Saccharomyces cerevisiae S288C: one gene and its partners. Changing the gene in region 3 together with the main gene of any one other region gives a genetic interaction. Each region holds a gene or a part of one and is shown on either strand. Other genes may lie near its edges.

Evidence for each region.
Region 1: of EAP1 (region 3) and YTA6, extra expression of one rescues a mutant of the other (dosage rescue), as found in Saccharomyces cerevisiae (one study listed by BioGRID).
Region 2: mutations in EAP1 (region 3) and EFT1 together harm fitness more than expected from each alone (negative genetic interaction), as found in Saccharomyces cerevisiae (2 studies listed by BioGRID).
Region 4: of EAP1 (region 3) and YPR096C, extra expression of one rescues a mutant of the other (dosage rescue), as found in Saccharomyces cerevisiae (one study listed by BioGRID).

Annotation. Positions count from the first base shown.
Region 1 is NC_001148.4:414,121-420,448, reverse strand, and holds YTA6 (putative AAA family ATPase YTA6), read right to left. Parts: upstream 4,687-6,328; coding exon 2,422-4,686; downstream 1-2,421. Other genes in the region: YPL071C (uncharacterized protein), read left to right, coding at 1-401; putative ubiquitin-specific protease UBP16, read right to left, coding at 438-1,937; transcription regulator GCR1, read right to left, coding at 5,087-6,328.
Region 2 is NC_001147.6:571,768-578,693, reverse strand, and holds EFT1 (elongation factor 2), read right to left. Parts: upstream 3,597-6,926; coding exon 1,068-3,596; downstream 1-1,067. Other genes in the region: GTPase-activating protein BAG7, read right to left, coding at 1-130; retromer subunit VPS17, read right to left, coding at 3,864-5,519; YOR131C (putative haloacid dehalogenase-like hydrolase), read left to right, coding at 5,856-6,512. UniProt on the Saccharomyces cerevisiae protein: Catalyzes the GTP-dependent ribosomal translocation step during translation elongation.
Region 3 is NC_001143.9:50,716-56,679, forward strand, and holds EAP1 (Eap1p), read left to right. Parts: upstream 1-2,988; coding exon 2,989-4,887; downstream 4,888-5,964. Other genes in the region: Ran GTPase-binding protein LOS1, read left to right, coding at 1-2,638; phosphatidylinositol kinase-related protein kinase TOR2, read right to left, coding at 5,220-5,964. UniProt on the Saccharomyces cerevisiae protein: Can regulate translation through binding to eIF4E. Competes with eIF4G and p20 for binding to eIF4E in vivo and inhibits cap-dependent translation in vitro. Plays a role in cell growth and is implicated in the TOR signaling cascade.
Region 4 is NC_001148.4:723,224-727,685, forward strand, and holds YPR096C (uncharacterized protein), read right to left. Parts: upstream 1,922-4,462; coding exon 1,619-1,921; downstream 1-1,618. Other genes in the region: Arf family guanine nucleotide exchange factor SYT1, read right to left, coding at 1-1,494; LEC1 (Lec1p), read left to right, coding at 2,171-4,462.

The DNA of each region.
Region 1 (6,328 bases), on a different chromosome or scaffold from region 3:
CAATAGGAATTGATAATTATAAAAGAAAAAGACTAATTATAGATTTAGAGAATTTATCCTTAAATGATAAAGGGCCCAAGAACGGACATGCAGATGATAACAATCTTATTCATAACAATATAGTATTCACAGACGCTATTGATGATAAGGTCCTGAAAGAGATCATCAAGTGTTCCACAAGTAAACGCGGCGACAATGACTTGTTTTATGACAAAATATGGGAACGTTTGAGAGAAAAAAGGCTACAAATAATAAAATGGGTAGATTATAAGGAAATTGCTTATCTAAGCTGGTGGAAGTGGTTCCATAATCAAATGACTTCGAAATACACTTATGATGGAGAGGCTGATACCGATGTTGAAATGATGGCAGTGGATACTGATGTGGATATGGATGCGTAACTTACTATTATTATAATATACCTATGTACAGGGCGGTTATTTATTTACACGTTCGTAGTATAGCATATAAGCATATTTCTGTTCATTCAAGACAGTTGAAGCGGTAGATTCCTTTATGGCGGTATCAGATATTTGCCAATAAGGATACCGCAGGGCGTTTTTGACTTTTTTATATCTGCTTTTTTTGTAATCATTATGTGCAACGTTTTGCTCGCGATTCTTGTTAACTTCATTGTTGACAACTGGTGCTCTTCTGAAGGAAGATTCATCCTCCTTCCCGAAACGAATTTCAGTCTTGCGTCTGTAACACATATAGTGTCCACTCGAATGAGAACCGGTGTGTTTCACAACACTTTTCAAATTATATTTGACTTGCCTGTTTTCTGTTATTGTCCCACTCTCAGCCAATGTATATTCAGAAAGTGTTATTCTTTCTCCAAATTTGACATTGCAGGGATTTCTAGAATATGTAATACCATTGAATGTGGATCTCGATAAGTGAACAATTAATATGTCTGGCAGTTGTACTACTACATCTTTTTTGATGACCTTTCCCTTTATATTAGATACCTGCAAATTGCCCTTTGAGTAACGCTTGACGTACTGTTCTACTTCGAATGGTAAATTTTCGTTAATTGGGGCTTTAGTGGCATAATTTTTCAATCTGTCCAACATTAAAATTTCATCCGGGGTACAGTCCTTGAAATTTCTATATTCTTCATGGTTTAAGATTGCTCTTATTTGGCAGATCAGGCATGAATAGTCGTCTATGATTTCTGTTTCATCGTGTGCTAGAATATTGGATAGATTCTCTGATGTTTGTTGTGGTACGGACAGTTCGCGGATGAAAGTCTGTTTGTATGATGGTTCTGATAGACCCTTGCATTTAAGGCATACTAGAAACTTGGAAGTCTCGCCCTCAAATGGAAACTTTGGTATATTCAAATTACATATCTGTTTACTGTAATCGATCAATTTTGATCGTTCTTCCTGTAATGTTTGTAGTAATATTAATGTAAATTCATGTGCATCATTTTGTTTGGATGAGATCTTTGATTTAAAGATGGACTCTAATGTGTTTATCACTATTTTCGGAGAAATTGACGTCTTACGATCTTTTACAGATATCAAATCCAAAATTAAACTGGTAAGACTTTCGTGTAAGGGGGCAAGTGAATTAGACGAGTTTTCAAGTCGACTATGCCTTGTAGTGTTATCAACTGTAGGATTGTCGCCTTTTGCATTATTTGACAGCTTAGTTTCTAATTCTAGAAGGACCGTTCTTATCCGTTTCAAATATTCTACAAATCGAGGTATTCCAGCCAGGCCTTGCAAAGATGATGTTATGAAGCAATCATTCCCACGATTAATTAAGCCCACTGTCGTGTACTTCCCAATACTCTGCTTAGAATCCCCAAAGACTAGCGCACTTAGGCTGGGTGCAATGGCATATAGAGAAGCAGCAATTATCAAACCACATGAAACTTTTTTAATCAGTGAAGTCGGAGATTCTGTTACATTTTTTATCCAAGACATATTGTGCTTGTAGTAACTGCTGTACCTTGCATATACTGTTTGGGCAGAAGGAGAAGGTCCAATTAGTTGTTGGAGGGTATGGCGCTAACGGTCAAGTGTTTTATAGCTGGACTTTGCTTTCCCATTAACTCAAACGTGTATATAAATTGAGATTGAAGAAGAAACTTTGAATCTAGGTTAACTGGGTGCTATTGATTTATTTTTTTTATTTCACCCAAGTATATTATTTTGTTTTCTTTTTTTATTTCATTTTTTTGGGGCCAATATAGTAAGCAAAAATCCGGAGAACTGTATTGAATATCGTTCTGAGAAAACTAATTGTAAATAAGAAAGAAAAATATCAAATCATAAGGGAACCGAAGTTAGTTTTTCTTTGATAATACATAGAAAGTACATAGGTAATAAAATTAGATCAGAAGCAAGAAGTTGAAAGGGGAAAATTCCTTCTCATACCTTTCTTTGCCATTAAGACGCTCCCTCTCGTTCAGGAACCATTACTACCGAATTTACTAGACCACTCCTCATATTTTTGTAGAGATTCTGACGACACGCTCTTTTTTATTGTCAACAGAGCATTCTGAAAATCTTTTATTTCAATTCCTCTGATTTTATCAAAATCCGCAAACATCAACTTATCTCCTAAATCTCTAATAGGTTCCATTGCCGCTTCTTTGGCTAATGACGTAAGATCAGAACCAGAAAACCCCTCGGTCATTTCTGTTATTAATTCATAGTCTAAATCTTGCAGGCTATTTTTCTGCTTGGCCATTAATCTCTTCAAATGATATAGTCTAGTTTCATAATCTGGTAAAGGAATGTATAGTTTCCGTGAAAATCGTCTTCTTGCTGCATCATCAATCGCCCATGGCAAATTCGTTGCTCCTAAGACAAGTACTCTGCTGTCAAGCGTATTATTTCGGTCTTCCGATTGTGCAGTAGCACTAGATAGGGAGGACCACTGAATAAGAAGTTCTGTTTTAATTCTCCTCGAGGACTCATTTTCATTATCAGAGCGAGCTGTTAACATAGAGTCAATCTCATCTATGAAAATAATTGAGGGTGACAATTTTTTGGCCATGTAAAACAATGCTCTAACCAGCTTCTCAGATTCACCGAGGTATTTCGATAGCAAAGAAGATGCACTTACACTAAAAAATGTGGAATTGGACTCTGTCGCAACCGCCTTAGCAATCATTGTCTTACCTGTACCTGGTGGGCCGAACAAAAGCATACCTCTAACAGGTTCTCTTAGCCCTTTGAATAAGTCAGGCCGCAGAAATGGGTAAACCACTGCTTCTTTCAAAGAATTCTTCGCATTCCGTAAGCCTGCGATATCCTCCCAATAAACTTTTTCATCCGTAACAAGAATTTCATTAAGTATCTGTTCACAAGCGTTTCGATCTACTCCCTGCACTGATTTTAATATATCCTCCTTTCTGGAATCGAGGGATGAACTAGCAGAGCTTTCCTTATCGGGTGTACCACTTTTAGAACGCATGGGTTTGGATTCAGCAGGTACCGCTGTCGCTGAAACGAGTACTGGTGAACTAGGCTCCAAATTTTGCTCATTCCTACGAGAAACTTTGTTAGTATTGGATTTACTAGCCTTCAGCTTGCTATTTGTGGGTATATTCCGTGAAGACTTGCTGTTTTGCCTGTTAAGAGTAGGTGATTTTATAATCGGTCGATTAACTGTTGGCTTTTTGTAGTCATACCTTTTTTTCAAAGGTGGTGTTGGCTTATAACGTATCTGAAGTTCATTTGAATGCGATCCGTTGTTACTCACTTTTGAATGATTTGCCCCGTTTTGATACTGAGACCAGGCTAACTGCGCAGCCATACCTATTTCTGCTGCCTCCATTGATTTTCTTACTGGCGTTCGTACTCTTTCGCCTGAAGTCCGTACAACGTCAAGTGATCTTCTTTTAATTAGGGAGTTGTCAATCTTTCCAGAAGATTTGCTACTGGAAGAGAAGTTGTCGAGGCTAGCCCTTGATTTGTAATTTGTTTTCCTCTCATGTTTCAGGGTTGATATACGTTTTTTCTCCGCTTGTTCTCTATGTTTGCGTTCTTCTTCCTCTCTCTTAACTCTCTCCTCCTCCAACTTTTGGGCCACTTCAAATTCGACCTTTTCTTTAACCTTTAACTCGATCAATTTTTCCCTTTGAAGTTCTAAGTCCCTCTCATACTGAAGTTTTGCTCCTAACTTTTTCTCTTCTTCTAATTTCCTAGCACGTCTGATATTATCAGCCTGTTTGTTGATTTTAGCCTCCTTTTCGTCAGCTTCTTTCAATTTATCTCTTTTGGAACCCATTCTCCAAAGTTTTGGAAAACGCAAACCATTTCCTGTCCCAAGGCCCAAAACGGAAGAGGAGGATGACAAAGAGGGACTACCGTTTCCTTCGGCCATAAGCGTTTCTGCTTTACGACGTGCGATCCTTATATCCTGGCCAAGAATTTGGAAATCCTCAATGATGCTCCTCAATTCAGGATGATCAACTACAAGATTTCCTAACCCTTTCTTTAAGGTATAAGTCTTTTCAATTTTTCGTAGACCTTCATTGACGTATACCAGTAAAGTGTCTAAGTTTTTGTGGATTTTCCCATACGTTACTGTGTCCTTATTACCTTTGCTATTGATTATTAGGTCTGCTAGGTTTTTATATTGATTTTTGACAACAGAGTAAAGCAATTGCAAAGACTGCGCTAATGTGAAGTTCTCAGGTATACTAAACTTTTCATGTGCCATTATCCTAGACTTTTTTGTGTTCCCTCCTCGGACTTTTCTTCACCCAGGGTCTTACCTCTTTTGCTAATGAGATTAATGTTTTTTCCATCTTTCAAAATTTCGGATAGCCCATCTATCCAGCGGGTTTTCTCAATTCGCCAGGGTCTTTGACAAAAAAATTAAGTTTTCGTAACCCATATAGTCAGTCATGAGAATATATATTTAGTCGTTGATGGAAAGACATTTAGGAATTCCCACATAGGCATACATCCGCATAGGTATGTACACACATAAATCTATATAAATATTAAATAAGTATATATATTTTCTATAAAGGTAGTAATAACCTAATGACATTTCTCGTTATCGTCGCTTCGTTATTTTGTTGAAGGAACTATTGTCGCGGACAACCTCAATAAACTTAAGATGGTGTATTATGTCGCCTTTTGCAATACTTTAATTTCTCTTCTTCTGTCATTGATCTAACGTTCCAATTTTTAAAGTTTTCAAAAATACAAATTTCCTTGTTATTTTTCGTTAAATTTCTAAAGTACAATGATAGAGAATTCAGAGTCAGACCGTTATTTATCCTGAACTTTTCTAGGTCCCCTACTAAAATCTTCCGTATATCCTCCCTCGGTTGTTGAGGATTAGTAAACCTGCCGAGTTTTATGCCACGATCACATTCCGTTTCAATATAATCCATAATAATTCTTCTAGTAGGAAAAAAATGTGAATCTTCGCTAACCTTCCACCTTCGCCAGCCATAATTTTCAATCAATTTTTTTATTGAAGATTTACCGTTCAGACCAATATACCACTCCGCATATAGGTCCCATATTGTTTTATTTTCTCTGGACAGCTTGTATTTGATTGCCTCGTTTGGCCCCGCCTTCGTATCCTTTTTATTTATAATTTCAAACTTAGAAGAACTCTGCGGAAATGATGGAGCTGTCTTTGTCACTGTACCACTTGAATTTGCAGCCTCAGTAGAATTATGAATATTAGAAATTGGTACTGGTTTGTCAGCATCCGTACCAAGCGGATTACTGTTTTTACCATTTTTCTCAGGATCTTTCGATTCTGGGCTGTTATCATTGGGCTCCGACTTACTTGACTCTGGCGGTTTCTCCCTATCAACATCATCACCAGCTACCTCGGTGGGACTTTCAGGCATGCTAGTAGTGGAGTCGTTGTTTGGAAGACGAGGTCGTTCAGCTAGTTTTGAAGAAGATGATGGAGAATCTTCATTTACCTTCTTAGAGTTATTTTCCGTTGTTGAACTTGAGCTACCACCAACTACAAAATCTGGAGAATGCTGAAACTGCTGAGGTGAGCGAAAAGATTCCGTGACAGCTGTGTTAGCCAACGTCGAAAGGGGTAATCTAGGGCTTGAAATGGATTTTGTAAGTAAGGAATCAAGAGCCGTCTGAGACGGAGTTGGTTTATCGTCTAGTTTAAAGCGTTTGCTATAGGGAGACTCACCAACGGGTGATGGAGAAAAAGGACTGCCTGTTGCTGCAGAGGCTATTGAACCTGGTAACGGTAGCTTCCTCTTCTGTACTATATCTTGCGGTTGCGGAGCCAAGGTGCCAAGCATCGGCTGTATAGAATTACTTAAGCTCGGGAACATGTTAATTGGCGCTAGCGCAGGGCTATTAGT
Region 2 (6,926 bases), on a different chromosome or scaffold from region 3:
CAAATTCGTTTTGCAAATTAGTAAAGGTGTCCCTATCCTTCTTGCCCTCAACAGAAGACATTGAAGATGACCTATTCTGTGGAGAACCCTCTTCAGAAGAAGGTGTAGAAAGTAGATTCATGTTAAACATTCTATTTTATGTTGTGTAATAAGATATGTCCAGAAATATACTATGGTTATTTATGTACTCTTTCCTGTGTACGCGTTTCGATTATTTTGCAGGTTATATTATATACTGCTATCACATGCTAAAACAAGAGTATCTAACAATGGGAACACAAAGCAAGTATTGATTTACTCATTCCAGTTGTGTAATTTTCTTCTAAAGATGTACTTAAATAAGAAGAAAACAATGATTGTCTTCGACCTCAACGCCTCGAACCAACGCTTTCCCCAATAGCGAGAGAAAGTAAGTAACCGGAAAATTAATTACCTCTTTCTTTCACCTGCAGGGGCTGAGGTGCTTCTGTTAGTGCGCCTCTAGAAGTATCGGCCATAATGAGATATATACTTTGGTTGCCCCTCCGGTTTTGAGGGAGTTTTAGCCCGATGAGGCTGGTCCTCCCCTCCAAGGATTTTTTGTATTTCCTATTTCGCTCTAATTATAGAAGCACCAACATACGGCGGGGTATAAACCAAACAATAGCCGCGGAAGCCCAATCTTCTTCTCCTTTTTTCGTAAACGGATAAAAAGCTATGACCAAGAGCCAGGTAAGTTATACGTAATACTACCTCAGGACCGATGTCATTAATGAATTATAATGGTTTTTAATAGTTTTTTCCATAGTATATCTAACGGGGTGGTGATACGTCGTAATAGTCAAGAAGTTGCCGTTCCTCCCCCTCTACAAAGGGGGCGGTAATACGAAAAGGTCCATTTTTATGATGGGTTCGATTGTAAACATTCGGAATATAACTATATGACAAAAATGTGTAAGAAAATAATATATAAGTCTATTACCATACTATTTTTATTACGACAAAATTTTAAAGCAGAGAATAAATGAAAAAGATCATAAGGCGGTAAGGTTTGCTCTTACAGAACCACCTTTTCTCATTTAGACTTCTTACAATTTGTCGTAATATTCTTGCCAGCCTGGAACTTCTTCCTTCATACCGTGTCTCTTACGAGCAGCAAGAACAATTTCACCAGCCTTAGAGGTTGGGTCCAATGGGTCAGAACCTAAAGTGGACCAATGGTCGAAAACCATTTGTGGGAAAGCTTGACCACCGGTAGCTTGTCTCAATTCACCAGTGAAACCGAAAGATTCGTTAACTGGCAAGTAGGCCTTGACGGTAAACAATGGAGTACCTGGTCTTTGTTCTTCAGAAACGACTTGACCTCTCTTCTTGTTTAAGACGGAGTAGATACCACCGACGGCTTGTTCTGGACATTGAATTTCGACCAAGAAAACTGGTTCTTGGATCTTTGGATCAGCCAACAAGAAACCGGCGTAAGTAGCTCTTCTCATGGTTGGGATGATTTGACCACCACCTCTGTGGATAGCATCGGCATGTAAAGTAACATCCAAAATGTTAACTCTGACAGATCTCATTTCTTCACCGAAAATTGGACCTTCCTTGGTAGCCCATTGGAAAGCAGCAACAACGGAATCCTTGATTTCGTGCAAGTATTGGACAGCCTTAGTTTGGTCAATAACCAAGTTTGGACCGTTACCGTCTGGACCGAAACACCAGATCTTTCTGGCATCGGTGACATCCCAACCGTAGTCGTCAGCCATGATTCTAGCTCTGGCCTTGAAATCATCTCTTGGGTTGATGATACCGTTTTCAATAGCCAAAGAGACTTCTTCGTCAATTGGTTCAGCCTTCAAGTAGATTCTGTTATGCTTGTTTGGAGACTTGGACAAAGCAGTTTGAGAAGATTCACTTTCAACAGTTTCTCTGTAAGCGACAACTGGTGGGGAGATCTTCAATGGAACACCAGCGTGGTCGTGTTCCAAATCTTGCAAACAAATTTCCAAATGCAATTCACCGGTACCAGCAACGATATGTTCACCGGATTCAGACATATAGGTCAAGACACATGGATCAGACTTGGACAATCTCTTCAAACCTTCGACCAATTTTGGTAAGTCGTTAGCGTTCTTGACTTCGACAGCGACTTGCACAACTGGAGAGACAGAGAATTTCATGACCTTCATGTTGTGAGCAGTTTCACTGGTGGTCAAAGTACCAGTCTTCAACAAGAATTGATCGATACCGACTAAACCGATAATGTTACCGGCTGGACAGTCATCGATTGGTTCGACAAATCTACCCATCATCAAAACAACTCTTTGAATGGCCTTGATGAACAAATCGTCCTTCTTACCTGGAACGTAGTTTGGACCTTGGATTCTGACCTTTTGACCGGACTTAACAGTACCGGCAAAAACTCTACCGAAGGCGTAGAATCTACCCTTATCAGAGGTTGGCACCATCTTGGAGACGTACAACATCAAATCAGCCTTTGGATCACAGTTCTTGATAGCAATACAGTTGGCATCGTCAGCTGGACCTTCGTATAATTGTTCAGCTCTGTAGGCTTGAGCAGTGACTGGAGATGGCAAGTGCAAGACAATCATTTCCAATAAGGCATCGGCAGCTGGCAAGAACTTTCTCATAACAACCTTCAACAAGGCCTTACCTTCCAAGTCCTTTTCGTCACCCTTCAAGACAATTTCCAACTTTTCTAGCAAAACTGGAATTTCGTCTTTCTTGAAGTTCATGATAGCAGTGAATAATCTGAAGATTGGGTCCAAGATGAACATGTTGAAAGCTCTTTCCAATGGCTTACCTTCAGCATCAGTGTCCTTGTTGGTCCACTTCTTGGTCTTTGGGTTGAAGAAAGAGTCACCCCATAATCTGTCCATCATCTTGGCCTTGTCGACACCGAATTTCTTAGCATATCTGGTGGCGAATTGACGGATAGTGAAAGCCCAACCGTGCAAACCGGAACCGAAGGCAACGGTACCTCTGGCTGGGTAAACTTGGACATCACCCAAAACTTCATCGGCGTAGGTGGAAACGATGACGTTAACGGATTCAACAGTTCTGGCAAAGGTTTGGTATAAATCTTCCTTAGAAACTTGCAATTCCAACAAAGCTCTGTCGACCTTGTTGATAACAACAACAGGCTTGATTCTTTCACCCAAAGCTTGTCTCAAAACAGTTTCGGTTTGGACACAGACACCTTCAATGGTGTCGACGACAACCAAAGCACCGTCAGTGACACGTAAAGCGGCAGTAACTTCAGAGGAGAAGTCAACGTGACCTGGAGAGTCGATCAAGTTGATCAAGAAGGAGTTACCGTCGGTCTTTTGCTTGATTTCCTTGACATCTTCGTCAGACATTTCAGAGTATAGAGAAATAGCGGTAGACTTGATAGTGATACCTCTTTCTTGTTCATCCTTTCTGGTATCGGTGAAACGAGCTTCACCAGCCTTAGCAGCGGAAATAATACCGGCTCTTTGGACCAAGGAATCGGTCAAAGTGGACTTACCATGATCGACGTGAGCAATAACGGACATGTTACGCACATTGGTAACTTTGTCCATTAAAGAACGCATTTGGTCAACAGTGAAAGCAACCATTTTTATCTGTTATTAAAAATTCTTGGGTGCGTAGGTCTGGCTTTCTGGCAAATGGGGTTAAGTAAAAAAACCAGTGAAGCGTTTAATACAACAGTAGTATGCAATTGAGATTAATTAAAGGAAGGCTCATGGCAAAAAAAAATTTTCTAGGTGAGATTTGAAAAAAAATTTTAAAAGTGCAACACGGAAGTTTACCCGGGATTAATATCAACTAAAGGAAAAAGATCACCTTGTTCAAAGGTATGAATTTTCTACTTTATATACGTATTATTTAGTGGACATGCCCAAAAGTGAAGCAGCATGGCGCGCATTCAGTGATGTAGTGTCTGAGTCCTGAGAGTTGTACCCATCGTCTTCAGTGAATAGTTCATCATCAAATTCGGTATGAGCGATCTTGTTGATGGGGATTTGACTTTTGCGGTTGCTCTCTCCCGTCCAACTGTCCCCTTTAAGGGTTTGAGAAGTATCGGAGTTGTTGTTTGAGACAGCATGGCGTCCTAGACGTGACAAACCTCCGTTTTCATCAGCTTTTCTGATATCAGAACGTACTCGTTCTAGTAACGTCAGCTTCTTTCTTTCATACTCTATCTTTCTTAGTGTAAATTCTTTGATCGAGCTTCTTATCCATTCTTCATACCAGCTAATCCACTGTTTTCTCTCGATAATCATGTTGGACGTGATTCGTTGAAGCTTAAGGGTCAAAACTTGTTCGTTTTTAGCTGCAGCTTTCAACTGACGTAGTGCTTCATCGATTTTCATAGGGTTAATATCTCTTCTTGACCGGAACCTGCGTGCTTGTTCCTGTTTCGCCTTTGAATTCTGCTGTGCCTGTACTAGATTTCGCATGATAAAATGCCTGTTGGTCAATGCTTCCTTCACGGCATAAGCATCTCTGACAATCCACTCTAAACCATCGTACAATGTCGCCATGTCCATGGTTGCTATAATGCTATCAATATCACCCACAGCAGTCAATATTTTACCGTATCTTCTGTAAAGTTTATTGTGCTCATCTAGATTAACGAAATCCTGGCCGAAGGCATTTTCTTCTTGAACCATCATCTTGCGATTTCTGGAAACTCTTAGCAGTTTTTCTTGCAAGCTCTGAGAAACAACATATATAGACTTGACTAATGGCCGGAATTCTGCTAATTCTGTGATTTCATCATATGGAGGTGCTAATTGTTTCAATGTTTTTCTTTTCAACCCAGATGCGAGTGATTTGGACTTGTTGATGGGTGTGTACGTATTAAAGTCACTTTCAATGAAAAAGGCCACTTCTTCATTCCGAATAATTAAGGGGTCTTGCGATAGCCTGTTAAACCAAAGTTGGAAATTTCGCGTTACTTTCATCCTATCTTCTTCGCTATTAATTCCGAATGTAGTATACGCAGAGGGAAGAGTAGGAACAAAAGATTCCTGAATGGCAACATTCAGATATTTGAACAATTGGTGGAATTCTTCGTATGATTTTTTGACATTCTTGTATTGTTGTTTGCGAAATGTTGGCAAATTTGTGGAGCAATCAAATATAATAGTCGGATTCTCTTTCTTACCGGTTGCAGATCCAAATCGTTCCAATCCTGTTACTTTTGCAAGTAGAGTGTATTTTTTTTTCTCATCACTTCTTTCAGGAAGTATAACACGTTCTGATGGTTGAGATGGTTGTTGGTTTTCATTGTGTTCGTTTGAAGTTTTTGATCGTGTTGCGTTTCCTTCTTCACCAAGACCATTTTGAATGTTATTTGCAGTTCCGTTGTCCTGAACGGAAGCTGCAGTTTGCTCAGTACCTACACGCTCCTCTGACATAGAAGATGATCCATCTGTGGTTGTTGCAGCAGGTTCAGAATCTTCCTCCTGGGGCTCAGCAAATGGATTGTTATCCAGATCATCATATGGATCATAAGGTACAGCCGAAGTCATTGTTCAGAGGATAGATGGATTGACTAAGGGTACAGTACGGCAAAAAAAAATTAGATCAGCTTTTCAAAACAAACTATTTTGGCGTTTACCAAAACCAAAACAGTATATTCAACTAGTTCAATCACTCTTGAAAACGTCCCCTTTCTACAAAATTAGGCTTTGAACGCGTGCTATGGAAAAAAGTGTAAAGAAAACGAAAAAACCAGAAAAGTCATATATATCTTATAACGAAATATCAGGGTGTTCGACTCAATCGCCAGGTGCCGCTAACACAATCATTAGGATAGTCGGGCAATATATACGGTTCAATAGTCACTGAAAGTGTATCACAGAATAATGACAAAGCTACAAGGACTACAGGGATTAAAACACATCAAAGCGGTTGTATTTGATATGGATGGCACATTATGCCTACCCCAGCCTTGGATGTTTCCAGCAATGAGAAACGCCATAGGATTGGAGGACAAATCGATTGATATCCTTCATTTCATTGATACATTGCCCACAGAAAAAGAAAAAAAAGAAGCGCATGATAGAATAGAATTAGTTGAGGCAAAAGCCATGAAGGAGATGCAACCGCAGCCTGGTCTGGTTGACATAATGAGGTATTTGACGAAAAATGGTATTAGCAAGAACATATGTACTAGAAATGTCGGAGCCCCGGTAGAGACTTTTGTTAAAAGATTTATTCCATCCGAGCTTTCGAGGTTTGACTATATTGTGACAAGGGAGTTTAGGCCTACAAAACCGCAACCAGACCCATTATTACACATCGCCTCGAAGCTAAATATAAGGCCCTTGGAAATGATCATGGTAGGAGATTCATTTGACGACATGAAATCCGGTAGATCTGCTGGATGTTTCACGGTATTACTCAAGAATCATGTGAATGGACATTTACTGCTCGAACATAAAGAACTAGTAGACGTTTCAGTAGAGGATCTTTCCGAAATAATTGAATTGATTCAAAATATGAATAAAGAAAGTTTCTAAAAAAAAAAAAACTTTACTTAGATATGTACATATGATTGAAATACCATTTTATTCTTAGATGTTTTTTAGAGCTAATATAGTAGCTATGGCGGAATTACCTTGATTTTTTCGGCATCACAAAGTTCGAGAACACATCAAATCAGCAAAAAAATCTCCGCGACGGGGAATTGAACCCCGATCTGGCACGCGACAAGCGCCCATTCTGACCATTAAACTATCACGGATTTTAATTGTTGGGTTAACGGTGTTTTTATTAATACTTGTTTCATATGATTTGAAAAAATAAAAAAATGTTGCAGCAAGTGATCATTAATGTCAATATAAATAATGATGGTAGCAAGATGAGTGTTTACGTTAATGTACATTTCATATACTGAGAAATAGGTGAATTTTCGGGATAATCGTTAGGATTTC
Region 3 (5,964 bases):
ATGTCCCGGATTGATCAATTCTACCTTGGATTGTATTGGGAGTTTTATCTCATGGATCGATATTAATTTAATTATTGATGCAAATAATTATTATCTGCAATTAATCTATAAATTTTTAAATCTTAAAGAAACCAAAATTTCATGTTATAATTGCATACTGGCCATCATCTCTAAAAAAATGAAACCAATGGACAAACTGGCTTTTCTGAATATGATCAATTTGACCAACGAATTGACTTACTATCATCAAGCCATATCAATGAATCCCCAAATTATTACATTTGATAATTTAGAAGTCTGGGAAAGTTTGACCAAGTTGATTACTTCCTTTGGCATAGAATTTACTATCATTATTGAACAAGTCAACGATGATCAAAAATTGGATACATTATACAAACAATCGGTCATTTCAAATGTTGATTCCATATTATTGGAGAAAATAATACCAATACTTTTGGAATTTATGAATAATGAGTTTGATTCAATAACAGCAAAAACCTTCCCATTCTGGTCAAATTATCTGGCTTTCTTGAAAAAATATAAAGCATCTTCACCAAATTTTGTACCATTGCATAAGGATTTTCTAGATAATTTCCAACAAATTTGCTTTAAAAGAATGAAGTTTTCAGACGACGAGGTCACACAGGATGATTTTGAGGAATTCAACGAAACCGTAAGATTTAAATTAAAAAATTTCCAGGAGATCATCGTGGTAATTGACCCAAGTCTGTTTTTAAATAACATTTCTCAAGAAATTTCAGCAAACCTAATGAATTGTAAAAACGAAAGCTGGCAAATTTTCGAGCTAACTATTTATCAAATCTTCAATTTAAGTGAATGTACCAAGAACAACTATTTCGGTTTGAACAAGAATGAAATTATGACCTCACAACCTTCGCTAACTTTAGTACGATTTTTAAATGAATTGTTAATGATGAAGGATTTCTTATTAGCCATTGATAACGAACAAATCCAAATACTATTCATGGAATTAATTGTGAAAAACTACAATTTCATATTTTCAACTAGTGCTAACACAGCAAATGCTACTGATGATGATGAAAAGTATCTATTAATATTGAATATTTTCATGAGCTCATTTGCTATGTTCAATAAAAGAGAAAACGTCAGACTAAGGTCATGGTATTTATTTACAAGATTCTTGAAGTTGACAAGAATCAATTTGAAAAAAATCCTCTTTGCCAACAAAAATTTGGTTAATGAAATAACTAATAAGATAAGTCCTCTACTTCACATAAAAGTAACATCTATCAACGCCCAAGGGACGGATGACAATGATACAATTTTTGATAATCAGTTGTACATATTTGAGGGTATTGGGTTTATAATCACATTGAATAATAGCAGTCAGGAGCTCACTGCTGCCACTGCCAACACCCCCATCGATTACGATATATTGGACCAGATATTAACTCCGCTATTTACACAATTAGAGGGTTGTATTACCCAAGGAGCTTCGCCAGTTGTGATTCTGGAATGTCATCACATTCTTATGGCTATTGGTACTTTAGCGAGAGGTTTGCACATTGGTCTCGTCCCTGAGAATCAGGTCAACAATATGGTTGTCAACAAAAAATTAATCAATGACTCTTTAATCCATAAATTCTCTAATATAGCTGAGGTTATATTAGTAACATTCTCTTTTTTCAATAAGTTCGAAAATATCCGCGATGCATCTAGGTTTACCTTTGCCAGGTTAATTCCAATTTTAAGTAATAAAATTTTACCATTTATCAATAAATTGATTGAATTGATCTTATCGTCCACAGATTTAAAATCATGGGAGATGATTGATTTTCTTGGGTTCTTATCTCAACTGATTCATATGTTTCACACGGACACAGACTGTTATCAGCTGTTTAACCAGTTACTTACTCCGCTTATCAACAAAGTCCATTCTATTATCGAAGAGATTGATGAACAACACGACCAACAATCAAGCAGTAACAAACCTATAGACACTGCAGTCACAGCCACCTCCGTAAATAAGAATATCGTGGTCACCGATTCGTATAGAGATAAAATACTATTGAAAAAGGCTTACTGCACATTTTTACAGTCATTTACTAATAATTCCGTCACTTCGATACTATTGTCAGATATAAACAGAGCAATCCTGCCGGTCATATTAAACGATTTGGTCACCTATACGCCGCAAGAGATCCAGGAAACATCAATGATGAAAGTGTCACTCAATGTATTGTGCAATTTTATCAAATGTTTTGGGAATGGGACCTGCTTGGATAATGACGACATCAATAAAGATCCCAACCTTAAAATAGATGGTCTCAACGAATACTTCATCATGAAATGTGTCCCAATAATCTTTGAAATTCCGTTCAATCCAATATACAAGTTCAATATCAAAGAAGGGAATTTCAAAACAATGGCATATGATTTGGCAAGATTACTGAGGGAGCTATTTATCGTCAGCAGCAACCCCACCACAAATGAGAATGAATGTGTAAAATATTTAACTCAGATCTACCTTCCACAAATCCAATTACCACAGGAATTGACGATTCAGTTGGTTAATATGTTAACCACAATGGGTCAAAAGCAATTCGAAAAATGGTTTGTAGATAATTTCATTTCTGTTTTAAAGCAAGGTCAATAGCTTTCAGGCGCAGAAAACCTGAAAATAAAAAAAAAATGCAAAACGAGAGTAAAAGTTGTAATTATATTTATACTAATATTTAAATTGGTAATATGTAATTAGACTTATCATTCACTTTGGTTTAGCAGCTAGTCATGTAATGGCACTAAAAGTGCTTCTTTATCTATTATTTATACGTGACATACCATTACTTCTATGTATTACGTAAAGAATGACAAACGTTTAGTTTTTTTAATTTCAAAGAAATCGTTGGAAGGTTCAAAAAGGATCAGGTGAGATATTAGAGTATATGAATGTTTCAGTCTCTAAGCTACACAAAGAACTAGCATAGTAGGACTTTAACCCATACAATGGAACTCAACGACCCTTCAATTATATCAAGCAGCCAGTTTTCAGGTGAATTGTCTGACAGCGATACTGCAGCCGCTACTCACAAATCGCAACAAGCCATCTCAAATTTATTCCAAAAATTAGCCAAAAAGGGCAGAGAAGAGAAGCCAATCGGTAGCGTAGAATCTTCAACTGATAGCTCTAACATTTCTGTTGCTACGAGCGGTAACAATAAAGAAAGCAATAAAAAAAAAAATAAGAAAACGGCCATGCTAAATTTCAGCAGTTTGACGGACCCTATAACGAACTACAAACCAATGGATCTGCAATACAAGACATATGCATACTCCATGAATGAACTTTATCATTTGAAACCATCTTTGGCAAGTGCTTCGTACGAAGAAGACCCACTTATTTCGGAACTTGTGAGGAGTTTACCCAAAAGAAAGTTTTGGCGATTGCGCATGGGACCTCCAGATCAAAAGCATGCTAATAACCATCATTTTAATGGGAACAATGGTGGAGGCAGTTGGAAGGCTGGTTACAAGAATGGGAAAAACGATGAGAGAAGAATGAGTAGAACCAAAAACATGCAGGGAGGCAAACGAAGATCTCAACAAGATGATGAAGAAAAAAAGATTGACCAAGAAATGCTGGAGATGGACAAGAATCTTCAATTAGGAGGTGACGTCGGCCATTCAATTGCAGATTTTGAAGATTGGAAGGCAAAGATGAAAGAATTAGAATTGAAAAAACTTTCAAAATCTAAAGGAATCAGTAACTCTACCGCAATTGCTCCCAGGGAAAGCGCCTCTCATGAAACACCCACCGATTTAAGACCGGTCATTCCAAGGGGCCCTAGTTCAATAACAGATTTTTTGAATTTAAAGAGGCAAGATAAGAAGGAAGAATCTTCACAACAAACACCTGGTATTCCTGTTGGACAGCCAAGCCTATCCAAAACCAGTATAGAACAAGTTAACGAATTAGAAACTAATTCAGATTTGGGTAAAAGTTCATCATCTCGGTTTTCATCATTTTTCAATAAATCTGCCACTTCGTTGCCTTCATTAGATAATAATAATCAAGTGCCATCGTCAAACGTGTCTGTAGTAAACAACGATGGCAACAGTACACCTCATCAAAGTGGTTCAAGACTGATGTCGTTTTTCAAAGAATCTAGATCGAGCACTCCAAATGCAGAATCGCAGTTGTTATCAGCCTCAGACAAAGATAATGGAAAGATGCAGACTCTTCCGCAATTCCAGCAGCAACCGCAACAAATGCAACCAATGGCATTTACCCAGCATCCTCCTAATAACAACGCATTTTTCAATGGGCTATTGAATAAAGGTAAAAGTGAAACTAGTACTCCTCCTCCTCCACCCCCAGGACTAATTGCTCATCAGGGTCCACAATTTCCTGTGATGGGTGTACCACCAAATTTTCCACAACGCATGATGCCACCGCCACCAGGTCTCGTTCAATTCCAGAAAGATTCTAAAGATGTAAATAAGAAGGAAGACAGGCAATTAAGGCAAAATAAAAATCCAAACGGAACAAGAAATAGCAAGGGAAAACAAGAGGAAACAGCAACGCCAGATCTGCCTCAACAGCAATACATGCCACCACCCCCACCTCCAGGGTTTTTTCCAATGCATCCTAACTTTCCTAACGGCCCAATGCCACCATTACCACAGGGGTTCCCAATCCCACCAAATGGTATGTTACCGGTAACAGGACAACAGCCACAGCCACCTTATCCAAATATGATGCTACAAGGAAATTTCCCCCCTAATTTCCAGCAAGGTTTTGGTAGTAACTCCCCTATGCCAATTCCATCTATTATTAATGCCAATGGCAAAAATGTTACAAACCAGTTACCACCAGGATTAAACTCTAAAAAGAATATAAAATGAGATGCGTAACGAGCGAGTACTTGACAGGAAACGACAAAAACACAGTGAACATACTATCTAAAAGCATGTTCTTTTCCTTTTCATTTTTCATCTTTATTATCTAGAGTTTGTATATAACATGTATCCTATATTATCTTATCCTATCATCATCACTTAACTTGTTATAATTCTCCCATATACTTATGTTTTCGCCTTTGATATTTACTAGTCGAAGGAACTTTTTTCGCAGTTAGTAACGTCACGCTCGGAACTAAACATTAATGAATGAGATGCATTTTTATACAACACTTTTACAGGCTATATACAACTAAGTGATTTTCAATACATTAAAACTACCAGAATGGACACCAACCGATATAATGTTGGCATAGGTTTTCCACTGATGTGGCTTGTTGGATTAGTTTATCCACTTGTTCTGGAACGTCCAAGTCATTAAACCTTCTTATATCGTTCCCCGTTAATTTGTCAGTAATGCGCTTCAATACCAACATGGCCCTTGCATTTCGAATGGCATTCTTGTGCTCGTTTTCCACCCTTTGAACTTCTTCTTCGGTAATAGCCCCATTACTCAATAGCTCATTGGCATTCATCACGGGAAGTTGAATGCCCGTTTCTTCCTCAATTTTCTTTGTTGGTAAGTCAAAACCCCAATTGATCAAAGGATCGAAAGCAAAAGCTTCAAGGATTGCCATTAATGAACCCTTGTTATCTCTAAGTACCTTCATAACATTCTCACAAGTAATACGGAAGCTACCTTCAATTCCACTCACTTCCATTGCATATGTTAACATTCTAGTTAATCTAAAAGGTACTTTTTCGGGGAATTTTTCTCTTAATATAGCAGCCTCGAAACAATCACCAAAATCAATATGAATGACTTTCCCAGTGATTCTATCCAACATCAAATTACTAGGGTGGCGGTCACCTAACCCCAATATATAACCGGTCATGGACATCACGGCTAGCGATCGAGTGTAAGTAGTTCTACGCTCCAACCACGTTTCCGATGACCTACTCTTCAGCCATAACACCTTATAAAGATCTTGTCCCTCCGTATTATTTAGGGCGTAAGTGAAG
Region 4 (4,462 bases), on a different chromosome or scaffold from region 3:
CGTTAATAGGTAGTTTAAACAATTTTTTTTGAACTCATCATCTTTTTCCGTTAAAATGATCCCAATGAACTTTCCGTAGGGCGCTAATTTAATCAAGAAGTCCTTACAAGAATCACTAAATTCAGGCGCGGGAACCGGTGGTAGATCTTCCAGCGAGACATCCAGTTTTTGTTGTAGCTGCTGTTGTTGTTGAAGGTGCTGTTGCCTAGAGGATGATAAACTGGAGGAGCGAAGGTTAACAAAACTACTTAAAGCATTCACAATTGAGCTACTTCTTCTTGACATTCCAGTAATAGTTGAATTGGCATTGCTTTTATTGTTGTAAACTGAAGTAGGGCCTGATCCATGAGGTAGGCCCAATTTGTTATGGTAGCCTTCATCTTCAATTGATTTTCTCTTGCCGCCCTTGCCTTGAACAAAAGACGTACTTTGAGATCGAGACCTTGATAAAACCTGATGGTCTGGGTGACTTGCTTCCGCTCCATCTGTATCATTGCTTATAATATTGGCATCATCGGGCAAAAGAGGTCCGCGGGATCCCATGGGGTCTTGCATAAGAGAATTTGTATTTTTCTCGTCAATAGTCCTAATAAAAGAAGATGGAGAGAGTGGCGGTTTGTTCTTTGCTGTATTGTTTTTGTTAATATAGTCAAATACGTCAACAGTTCTACTGCGCCTTCTTCCGAACCTCCTTTTGGAGATCTCATCTTGTTGTTTTGCCAATTCAATTTGAGGAGTTGCATCAAGTGGTATTGCGTGCAGCGAATTGAATTTTATTGACGACGACGATGATGATGATGATGCAACAACAGCTCTTTTGGACGGATTGAAATATCTTGAAGCCGCTGTAGAGGAACCGACGGAAGAAGATGTCGATATCCTACTCACAGTAGGAAGAGTAGGAACTAATCTATCACCGTTAAACAGGGTAGGCTCTTGTGATTTTCTGTAATCTCTTGACAATCTATTAGAAGAAGGAAATTTTTCTAGAGCAGGTTTCACAGGAATGAATGGGGCGTGTTTTGAATTTCTCTTTACGTTATCAGACCCGGAGCTAGTAAGCGTGACTCTCTCACCATCGGGCTTGGGAACTTTCTCTATCGAATCTATGTTGTTTTCTGATTTGAAAGGCATTTCTTCAGGATCTTGTCCATTACGGAGGTGTTGTGCAACCAAGATTTCATCATCTTCAGAACCCTTTTCATTGGCTGACCTGAAATTCAAGTCTAACCTACCCATCTTACGCCGTATCCTGCTTAGTTTGCTGTGTTTTTTTGTGGGCTCGCATTCTTTTACATCAAGTTTATCGTCGTCATTATTAGTGTGTTCCTGTATTTCTGCGAGTTGAAGAAAAGGACTTCTATAACTTTCCGACTCTCTTAATTTATCTATGCCTGTTGAAACATTGCTTCCGCCCTTTTTGTTGCCATTTTTATCGTTACTGTGTGATTGAAGGAATTTAAGCTTAATCAACGAAGAAATAGACTGATTCATTATCTGGCAAGTGTGGATTGAAGAGCTGGTCTGGCGGGAAGTTAGCGAAAATGAAGTTACAATGAGTTGAAACAGAGTAAATAATAGGGAGTGGATGCGAGTAACCTTGCGATGTCAAAAGAATTCAAAGTACTATATCTACTGCCTTTCTTTCCACTTGGTGCCTTTTACCCTGAAAGTCTAATGAGCAGGTAGTATAAGAGAAGCAGCTTCTGAAGAAGAGTTCTTTGTACAATAAACCGGCCTTGTGGTGCGAGAGAGGCTTGTAATATAGATTATACTGAAGCCTGTTGAACTTAGCGTCTATTTTCTTTTCGTTCCCTATATCACTTTTCCTAATATTTTCAACATCTCCTTTACGCCAAAAACAAGAAAAAGGACGAGATGGCCTTGGGTTTTTAATGCTTACGCCTGTTTCGCCTCTCATAAGACAGATAAATGTACGTTAACCATTTGACAGTTAACTTTTTAGGCGTGAACAAGGAACGTATTAAAGTGTTTTTCGAATAATTGATCACTTTCTAGCTTTCATTCTTTTTTAAGAGCTACATCCAATTACTGTGCATTGGGCTCTATAAAAAAAGAAAAACGAACCTTACCTTGTGGTCGGAATTGTGTACTGAAATCAGTGGTTGAAGATAATTGTACTAAAGAATCAAAAATAGACAGTCTTCAAATGATTACTCAAGACACTCCTGCTTTAAATCCAACGGAAGAACACTACCTGAAGAGGGAACTGCTTCGATGTCAATTGGATTATGAAATTGGAAAGCTTAACGATCAGTTTGCTTTGAGAAAGTTCGGTTATCCTTTCTCACCAAACGATCCGACAGCTCCACAGCCTATCTCCAATAACGATTCATCACCAGTGCTCGGTGGCAAAGGCCATTTTAGCGTTAATTATCCCATGCTGAGTTATGTTTTGCAAGAATTTATATCCACATTTCCTTTACTTTCAACAAATTTGCTAGTTGATGAAAAATTCTGGCAGAGTAAGGTTCAAGTGTTCTTTGAACATTTCATGAGTCTTGGGTTTAGTGAAAGTTATGACAGGGAGGAAGCTTCAAAAAGGAAGAAAGTTTCCAAAAAGCTATCAAAGGTTATCTTGTTGCTCTTTAACTCCGGTGTTGGCTCTTTTCAAGAGCAAGCGTATTATAATGAGGATAAATTCGTTTTACAGTCAGGCCAAGCGAGAAAACGCTCTAATATTGAGAAATTTGCAATGCCAACTAGAGAAAATTTAGAGAATTTGCTCACTAACGAATCCGTTTTTATTAACGGTTGGGACGTCAATATTATATCCGTGTTCAATAAGAATTCACGGAAATGTACTGAAAGTGTGGATAATGACAAGTCTAGTAAATCTACTCCAACTTCGAGTCCCAAAAGCCATGCTATAAAATCATTTGCTTCCACTTCTAAATGGATGAAGAATGCCTTCAACAACACTATTAACAGTACCATAAATAGTATGCCCGAATCCTCAGCATCTTTATTTTCGAAATTATCCCTTGGCGTGCCTTCAACTAAGAGCAAGCAATCTAGAAAACATCATTATTTCTTGATTAAGATTAAGAAGCAAGATGACGACGACCAAGATAACAGCAATGAAGAGAATAGTAATCTTGATCACCATGCTGGTTATTTCTATGTGACAAGAACATACAGCGACTTCAAAAAACTATCTCATGATTTAAAATCAGAATTTCCGGGGAAGAAATGTCCGCGCTTACCTCATAGAAATAAAAAAGTGACGTCTATGATAACTAAAACCGAAGTGTTACACAATGGGCAAACTAAATCAGCAGCCAGGGAAAAAATCGTCAACACTTTTGACACTGATTTACAATCTGCATCAGAGTCTGATAATTCTTCATTTTTACAGACAACGAATGAATTATCTGCTACAGAAACAGTACTCACAGAAAAAGAAACTGAAACGTTGAGAAAAAATATTCTAAATGAGATCAAGGAAGAAGATAATATTGATGAGGACGAGTATGAGGAAGAAGGTGAAGGTGAAGAAAGTGATTTTGATGAATATAAAGATGCATCCGATTCAAAAATCAATACTTTGGTGGGTGAAAAAATGAGAACTTCATTAAGACAATATTTAAGGACTTTGTGTAAAGATGCAGAGGTTTCTCAAAGCTCATCTATTCGTCGCTTCTTCCTAAGTGGGCCTAATTTAGATATTAAGGACATAAATCCGAAAATAGCAGATGACATTAGAAACAGGGCTCTGATAGATGTAAGTAATTTGGAGAACCAAATACGTTTCCAACAGATGGCGTTAGAAAAGTCTTTAAAGCTGCAAGACTCAATGAAAGATTTCAAAACATCCCTGTTAAAAGATGAAAAATACTTGATGAGTCTACTAGTAGAAATCAAGGACAATACGAAAGTTGAAGACCTGTCACCACTTTTACAAGACTTTGTGGAATGGTGTAAGATTTATATTTCCTCAATGATTTATCAAATGTTTCTGGGTAACGATAACAGTTATGAACTCTATACACAAATAAGACGGTTACATAAGCTTATGCCGTACACAGTAATGGGACAGATCATGAAATTTACTAATCCAATAGCGATCATGAGGGGTATGATTGAATTATTTATGGCACAACCCTTCGGTGGTCATTCGCTCCTTCAAACAATGTTTTCTACGATATTAACAGATGATTTGAAAACTCAAAAGGTAGCTATAAAGGAATTAGAAAGGAAAATTGCTGAGATGGACCCGGGCGCTTCAGTTGTGACTAAATGCTTGAAGGATTTTGTCTTTAATAATGATACTAAGGATGAGCATGATACTAAACTCTTTACTATGGACGCAGTAAATGCAGAATCCGAATCCATGAACATGCCTGTACCATTGATAGTATTAATGAAAAGTGCAGCTGCAAATCTAATTCCAGACGAGGTTGTCGCGGGACTTATTGAATCCTATTCATCATGGAAACTG